2 linked regions of the Nothobranchius furzeri genome follow. The protein of the gene in region 1 interacts with the protein of each later gene in a pairwise test. Links are inferred from orthologs where the notes say so. Each region holds a gene or a part of one and is shown on either strand. Other genes may lie near its edges.

The links.
Region 2: the proteins of mcm10 (region 1) and mcm6 interact in binary tests that used the Homo sapiens proteins (3 or more experiments, as listed by UniProt). The two-hybrid records come from large-scale screens. The link is inferred for Nothobranchius furzeri from reciprocal best matches to the Homo sapiens genes MCM10 and MCM6.

The regions. Positions count from the first base shown.
Region 1 is NC_091741.1:61,269,261-61,273,853, forward strand, and holds the start of mcm10 (protein MCM10 homolog), read left to right. Parts: upstream 1-1,620; 5' UTR 1,621-1,760; intron 1,761-2,576; 5' UTR 2,577-2,612; coding exon 2,613-2,619; intron 2,620-2,693; coding exon 2,694-2,978; intron 2,979-3,083; coding exon 3,084-3,272; intron 3,273-3,399; coding exon 3,400-3,540; intron 3,541-3,659; coding exon 3,660-3,867; intron 3,868-3,946; coding exon 3,947-4,112; intron 4,113-4,593. UniProt on the Homo sapiens protein: Acts as a replication initiation factor that brings together the MCM2-7 helicase and the DNA polymerase alpha/primase complex in order to initiate DNA replication. Additionally, plays a role in preventing DNA damage during replication.
Region 2 is NC_091751.1:64,049,429-64,053,243, forward strand, and holds the end of mcm6 (DNA replication licensing factor MCM6), read left to right. Parts: coding exon 1-87; intron 88-168; coding exon 169-324; intron 325-435; coding exon 436-564; intron 565-1,833; coding exon 1,834-1,998; intron 1,999-2,171; coding exon 2,172-2,295; intron 2,296-2,371; coding exon 2,372-2,548; intron 2,549-2,616; coding exon 2,617-2,756; intron 2,757-2,837; coding exon 2,838-2,948; 3' UTR 2,949-3,242; downstream 3,243-3,815. Other genes in the region: uncharacterized protein si:ch73-71c20.5, read left to right, coding at 3,318-3,405, 3,604-3,815. UniProt on the Homo sapiens protein: Acts as a component of the MCM2-7 complex (MCM complex) which is the replicative helicase essential for 'once per cell cycle' DNA replication initiation and elongation in eukaryotic cells.

The sequences.
Region 1 (4,593 bases):
GATTCATCTGCGTCACAAACCAACTGTACTAGAGGGGAGTGGATGACTATAATCAGAGGTTACCTTTGTTGAAAGACAGGAGATGGTTTTGACCACTGAGTTGAAACTTCAGCTCTTTGATGACTTTTTGTGATCCACGTAATGCTGACCGAGAACAAACCACGACTAAAGGAGCCTTGAAACCTAAGCCATTCTTGCATACATGTATTTTCTAGTAAAAATACTAAAATGCACTCCACTGTGATATGGCTGATGACCCAGATGACACCAAAGGACCTGGACTAATGCTTGTTTCATAGGTCTACATGTGTAGAAGTTCTAACCTGCATTTGGGGCGGGCCAATAGCAGTCTCTTGACTACTTTTGCAATGTGATGCAAAGGACAAGTAAGGTGGTTGTCATCCACATCATTTCTCCTAGGTCAGGCTAAGGCTGAAGAGAGGCTGCAGAATTCCACATAGCTGCTCTGCACAGGCCTGAAGGACTCTGGGGATGACATCTGGACCTGGAGCTAGGTTTTATCTCTCCTGTGGCATCTTCATATGACTACTGGAGCCAGACAGGTGGGAGGGGCGAGGTTAGGGGAGCAACAGCATCTACTGATGTAATTTATGACAAGGATGAATTTGCAGCTGCAGGATCCATGATTCAGACAAGGAATACATGAATGAGGTGTGAGAGAGAAGCTGTGGGTCAGCAGAAGGTGGGCTGGGGACAGGTTGGGCGGATGCTGAACTGAATTGTTTGAACAACATGTTCATTGACTTTGTCTAGACCTCCAGCTGTCTCCCGTTCTCTGCTTAAAGCCAGTGATGTTCTTCATCCCCAACTACATAATTTATTTTTCTTGCTGGAGCTTGATCTCCAGTGTTTTTCTGTAGGTCCCCTTGTTTCATATTTTGGTATCAGCTAGTACTCTCATTCAGACAAACCCAACAACACGGTTTATAACTTTTCTTTACTGTTTATATTCTGGTGCTAAATTATCAAGGAGATCTTCGTGTGAAGATTAGAAGCCATCACTGAGCTAAAGACCACCTTCTCTTCGGCTTAGTGTTGACAGAAATTTATGCCGAGACTTCCAAACACAACTCTTGACAAATAATGAGCTACTTGGGAATAAAAGTAAGTTCTTCATTTAAAAAATATTGAAGACAAGCTGTTATAAATATGATATATTTCTTTGATATGGTACTCTGACGAGATATGCCGTTCATCATTCTTTTATTTATTCAATTTAAAGCTTCGCTCAACAGTTGTCTGTTGCCCACAATGTCTGTTTTACATCTATTGTCCACTTGATGGTGCAGCTGCGCAGTAAAACAAATGAAGCACCTAACGACGTGAAAAAACCTGATCAGTCCTTACGTTTTCTTATCCCAGTAAAAGTAATTTATCGATTTTTTACTATATTAAATGAAACAAACGTTAAGTTTACGAACGGGTAAAAACAAATTTCTGAAGGTTTTCCAAATCTTCAATGATTTATTGCGTTTGACTTAAGTTTTTTTAACCAGGCAAATATTTGGGCACCTATGACCACTTAGACACAACATGGTCCTTCGTTTAGCGCCACTTTGGATTAGTCTTTTAGTGTAAAAGGACACTTTACAGCATAACTAGTTGTCGTATTAAATAAAACTCGGTGGTTTGAATAAAATGTTCATTAGCAAAATATAAGACTTATATAGAAAGTTACGCAAGCCCTTTAATATTAGCTGCGGACTAGCTAGAAGGCAGAAAGCTGAGCTTCTGTAGGGGTAAGTCGTCATTTTATCTGTCTGTAAGGCGAGTTACTTTGGTTATGTTTATCGGTTTTATTTCTCGCATAAGAAATTGACATTTTAAACACAATGACAGCACGTCATATTTAACTAGTAGCATCCAGTCTTTCTCTGTTCAGCCCTTCACCGGGTTAAGAATGCACTCAAATAAAGACCTCGAGGAAGTGAGTAAAAACAAACACCACAAATAAAGTTTTTCAAACCAGTTTAATGACTGACGTGAATCTTCATTTCTCAGTTTCATCCCATCTAGTCTGCCTAAAACCACAGACCGGCATAAGTTCTGATTTTACGGTGGTTTAGGGAGTTAATAATAAGATAATAATAATGACAGCACACAAAACGAAAATTTATGAGTTAAATCAAATTACGTTCTCAAATGAAAGCGACAGAATAGTTGAGTGAATATTACAATAACCCCTGTAAAAGTGGGTTATTAATTGTGCCAGTGGTGCTGCAGACCAATGAAGTCTCTGAAGTCCAGCTAACAGCAGAAGGTGTAAAAACAATGACACATTTTGTCTTCTAAATATTAGTTTAGAACAGGAGAAGAGCTCAAACTGCAATTTGTGGTGTTTGTTTGTATCAGACAGAAGAAAGCTTTAGAGATATCTGTCATCATTTCTCTGCTCTCACCTTTGCAAAGATTTTGTAATAAATTCTTGTTAAATCTTTTAAACACACTTTTGGTAAAAATATCTTTTTTTTTGTTCAAAATACTGAGAATGATTAGTTGTGTTGTTTATATTCGTCCCTTCATTTCATTAAAATACAGTAAAAATTATCTTTCAGGGTTATTTGCTTGGCTCGTCTTAAATCAGCACTGAAATGGACTGTAAGTAGTGAATTTAAAGCACAGGACTGTTGGGTTTCAGAGCAAATGGTCACTTTATAAGTTTTCCTACTCAGGTGAGGATGATCTTGACATTCTGACGGCCCTATTGGATGAGGGCGATGATGTTGGTGAAGCTCAACATGGCCAGGAACAGGTGGACGACTGGGATTGCCTGTTTGGTGCGGACGGTGATGAGGAGGAAGAATACAAGGAGGGTAGTGAAGAAGAAGCGGTGGCCAAAGAGGATGTAGTGTTGGAGCTGTTTGGAGATGTTGAAGACATTGAAAAGGAGGAGAAAAACATAAAAGGAAAAGGAGGTGCCAATGAGAACCCGAACCAGTCCAAAGAGGATTTACAAGGTTTGATCTGAAGTTGCTACTACTTAAATCTGCATTTGGTTCATCCACAGTGGAATTTTTCTAAGTTTTTGTGGTTTTGTTTCTGTATCGTTTCATCTCGTTCAGAGGAGTTGAGGAAAATGCAGAAGCAGATGCAGAAACTTCAGCAGCAACTGGAGGCAAGCCACAAAGTTCCAGCCGCTAAAACCACTACAGCAGCAAGTCCTAAATCAGAGGTCCTAAAGCCATCCCTGACCCAGCAACCAGAACCCAGACGGGTCAGAGCCAAAGCAATTCCAACACTGATGCAGTCAGGTAAACATTTTGCTGCTCAACAATCATGCATATTTTTCAAGTTAAGCTTTTTTTTTTAATCATAAATTCCTAAATTCACCAAAATCCTTATTTTTCTGGTTCTGTTTCACCATATTTTTTTTACCAGCATCAACATCTTCATCCACTCCAGTCAGAGCAGGAAGCTCAAATCTCCAAGAATCCACAGATTTTTTATCTCAGCTCAACAACGGAGATTTGTTTAAACGAAAACCTCGAGTGGCTCACAAACTCAAAGCATCCTCACCTGGTACTTCTACCCTTCCATCGTTTAGCCATTCACCTTCAGATTATTCAGGTCTCACCAGCTGATCTGTCAGTCAATGCTGCAGGTTTCATCTACAAAAGCTTTTTCTTCAATGTTTTTAGAGGACAGAAAACCACTGGTGGAGGTAAAGCTTGGCAGCTCCTTCCAGGCATTAGAAAGCAGCAGCCAGGCCCTGGAGCGTCTCCTCTCTCCTCCTTCTTCCCACAGCACACATGCACCAACTGCATCAGCAGGACCTTCTAAACCTGCTGCTCCTCTTCCTCTACCCAAAGATTTAAATATTGAGAAGTACTCAGGCCTACGGATCAGGTCAGAGCACTAACGTAAGAGGAACCTTTGTTCTGTTAGTGATTCATACAACATCTGTGGGTTTCTTGTTGGTTTTCAGAAGGCCACGTGTTTCCTCGAGTGAGATGGACCGCAAGATGGCTGACCGCCGCCTGATTCGCCTTTCGCAGGTGCCAGAGTGCTTAAAAAGGGAGAAGCTGGAGGATAGCGACTGGGTGACGTTTGCAGTTCTGGTCAACAAAGCCACGCCTCAGAGCAACAGCAGTGTAAGTGGGTGATCAGATGTCTGGCAAAGTTCTGTTTTACAGAGCGGGCTGTACAGATGACCCTGAATTAGGGTCGCTCCATAGAAAAGACCACAGTGTGATAAATATAGACCATCAGGAAAATGCATGGGCTTTTTTAATGGAGAGAAAAATCTTAAAGAAATGTTTTTGTCAGTGAAAAACTGGTGGAGGAGATTTTGTTTATGTTTATTCATTTAGCAGACGCTTTTATCCAAAGCGACTTACAATTTATAACCTATAGGGCATGTTGTGATCTGTGGGGGAAACCGGAGTACCCGGAGGAAACCCATGCATGCATGGGGAGAACACGCAACTCCACGCAGAAAGGCCACAGCCGAGTTTCGAACCTGCAACCTTTGTGCTGCGAGGCAACAGAGCTAACAACTGCGCCACCATGCAGCCCCATGCAGGATTAATCTATAGTAGAGTCAGCCAATGGACTGGATGAGCTGCCGATTTT
Region 2 (3,815 bases), on another chromosome or scaffold:
TTTGATAAGATGGACATAAAGGACCAGGTGGCCATCCATGAAGCCATGGAGCAGCAGACCATCAGCATCACCAAGGCTGGAGTCAAGGTAGCACCGTCCAGCTGAGCCCGGAACACCTCACCTGTTCAAGTTTTTACCTCTGGAAAATAATCTCCTCTGTTTGTTCAGGCTACTCTGAACGCACGCACGTCCATCCTGGCTGCTGCCAACCCCGTCAACGGGCGCTACGACCGCAGCAAGAGCCTGAAGCAGAACGTCAACCTGACCGCCCCCATCATGAGCCGCTTCGACCTCTTCTTCATCCTGGTGGATGAGTGTAATGAGGTACGGAAACACACAACACGGAGGGAAAATGTGTGTGTGTGTGATTTTTCCATGCTGTAGTAACCAAGGATCTGATGGAGGTGATCATTTATCTACCCGTGTGTATCTCAGGTCACAGATTACGCCATCGCCAGGAGAATCGTGGACCTGCACTCCCGGGTGGAGGAGTCCGTGGACAGACTGTACTCCTTAGATGAAATCCGCAGATACCTGCTTTTTGCTCGGCAGTTTAAACCCAAGGTGTGTGTTTTAAATAAAAACAGGAAGTACTCCAGAATAAAGCTGCTACAATAAAAGTATCTAGGTTTCAAGCAGCACCCTCCTAAACCCCACTGCAGCTAACGCAAGCCGATACTACGCGAGTCACGGGGGAAAAAGTCCACACATATGGTCAAAAAATATATTCCTTTCAAGTCCACCATCAGTCTGTGATGTCATGTAGGCCACACCCATTTTCACTCTGGTTTTAGCGCTTTGCTCCGCCTCTAAAAACAATCCTCTCACTTTTATTTCCAGGCTACGCCATGATGCCAACAAAAAAAAAACAACTAACTGCTAGCTTTTATATTGGCTACCAGTACAGTAAACCGCTTTTGCCATAAACCAGGTAGAAACCTCCCTCTAGTGTTCCTACCTGAACCACAAAACGGTTTAGTAGAGTTCAGGGGCGGATTAAGGACCGAAGAAGATCCGGGGCTTAACACGCACACACACACACACGCGCACACACACACATGACACGCATTAGTCAACATCATATATGTCTTGTACCACATAATTTTTAATCTGAAGCTACATATTAAGCATTTTCAGGGCAGAGTATTGTTCCTGTTAGTGTTTAGTGTGAGATGATAGTAAATATTCCCGTTCTTTCTCCAACAACTTTACCTGATAAGCTAACTTTAGGCAAACCAGCAGCACAACAAGTACTTTCTAATAAGACTCACAAACCTGAGTCAACACCAGTCTCATCAAAGCTGGGGTTCTGTCGCCGTACTTTTGGTCTAAAAAACGTCCTTATGTCCATCTTCACTCATGCGTTTCAGGCAGAGAGTGTAGAAGAAGCCGGTTGCTGAAGGGCTTCTTCTTCAGTGGTGGAGGCTCAGGCAGGCTGTATACAAACTACTGCCAGCTGCTCCCTCTCTGTTGGACTTTGGTACTGCATGTTACTTCTGCAATTTAGATCCGGGGCTTTTCATGAAACATCCGGGGCTTCAGCCCAAGTAGCCGGGCCTAACGCTGCCCCTGGTAGAGTTTCTGGTCAGCAGAGGGCTACTGGGTGCTGTCCAATATGAAGATGCTTAAGAACCACTAAAACCAGTTTAAAAGCAATAGCTTAAAATGTTAAAAACCACTTGGTGTTGATTTTAAATGGCCTTACATTTATCAGGTGACTGTTTTGGACTGACTGAGTGTAAAAGCTGCAGTGTGTGTGTGTGTGTGTGTGTGTGTGTGTGTGTGTGTGTGTGTCTGTGTGTGTGTGTGTGTCTGTGTATGATGCCATGGCAGATCTCCGGTGAGTCTGAGGAGTTCATTGTCGAGCAGTACAAGCGTCTGCGTCAGCGCGACGGCTCTGGGAGCGTGTCCAAATCCGCCTGGAGGATTACGGTGCGGCAGCTGGAGAGCATGATCCGCCTGTCTGAGGCCATGGCACGCATGCACTGCTGTGATGAGGTACGACGTAGACGGAGGAGCTGACTGGACCAGGACAGAGCAGTTTGGCTCATGTTTACAGAAAGTGTCAAATGACAGGAAGCGGCGTCAAGACACAGCAGATGACTGGTGTGGACATGATCTGGAAAAAAGATGAATATGAAAAGCACCAATGATGGTTTCCTCGTCTCCAGGTGCAGCCCAAACACGTGAAGGAAGCTTTCCGTCTCCTAAACAAGTCCATCATCCGAGTGGAGACGCCCGACATCAACCTGGATCAGGAGGATGAATTTGAGGACGAGGAGCAGCAGGAGGAAGGTATGAGGAGTTATCTGTATGCACACCCTGCTGCTGATGATCTGTAGATCTTCACTGAACAGTTTTCCATCTGCAGTCAACAATGTACCAAATGGTGTCGACGATCATGTTAATGGGATTAATGGTCATGCCAGTGGCGTGAATGGTCACGCGGAGCATGACAGCCAACCCAAACCTTCTCTGCGTTTGTCTTTTGCCGAGTACAAACGCATCTCCAACCTGTTGGTGCTGCATCTGCGCAGAACAGAGGACGGTAAGAGGCGGTCCTCCTACTCCCTTTTGTCTAAAGCTGCAGCTAAACTGGACTTTTCTCCTTTTCAGCCGATCAAGAGGAGGAGCTGAGGAAAAATGCAGTGATAAACTGGTATCTGAAGGAGATCGAGTCAGATATCGACTCTGAGGAAGAGCTGATCAATAAGAAGGCTCTGATAGAGAAGGTCATCCAGAGGCTGGTCCACTACGTGAGTCTGCGCTCGGTGGATATTTCTATCAATGTTCGATTAAAGTTTAATCCGCTCACACCAACGTTTGTGTCTTTGTAGGATCACATCCTCATTGAGCTGTCTCAGGCTGGACTAAAGGGCTCTGAGGCTGAGAGCACAGAGGAAGACGTTGTTCTGGTCGTTAATCCCAACTACATCCTGGAGGATTAAACCATCTGCTCTGGATGTTCATGGTGTTCTGCTGAAGATCGCATGACTTTGGAGATGCTGTTAGACCATCTTTTGGAGGTGGCCCCTGCTGTACAAAGATGAACTATGGAGGCTCCTAAAAGATGAGATGTAAATACGCTGCTTTGTGTAGTTTGCTCCACTGACTGTTATGAGTCAGTAGAACCTCTGGACTGTGTGATGACTTTCTAATAAGATGGTTTCCACTTGTTGCTGGTTTTGTAATATGGTGACAGGAAGTGTACGCTTGTTTACTCAATAAAATGTTAATGTAAACACGTGGTTTTGATCCTGTTTTTGGGTAAATAACGTAATACCAGCACTGTCCACCGGGGGCAGCAGGCTGACTGGATGAAGAGGTATTGCGCATGTCTGTTTTTGTGTTATTCGACAAACATGGCGGCGCCCCGCTTGACAGCAGTCCGAGCAACCCTAACAGGTAAAAAACACGATAAACGTGAACTCACGTGATGAAGCCACCAAGTTAGCTTTTAATTCCACGTGTCGAACGCTAAATTAACCTATAAATATTTAGGGTTTCGTTGTTGGACGTTTACTCAAACACGTTTCCGGTAAACTAACCGGCGGGGAAGCGATGGAAGAAAAAGGTGATTTAAGGCTTAAATTCGTCCCTCAGGTTTCTCCACCTGTCGGTTTCTCTTCACGCATCGCTTTCAGACCCCAACAGTGTGCCGTCATTCCCGGCTACATGTTCAGTCCTCCGCCGGGCTGTGGAGCTCCAGGACCGAGCCGCAGCAGAGTGACCGGACAGGGGGCTCCGCTGGCGGCAGAGCCGAGGAGCAGGAGGAGATAGAGTACATTCCCAGGAGAAAGGCCCGGAACCCCATG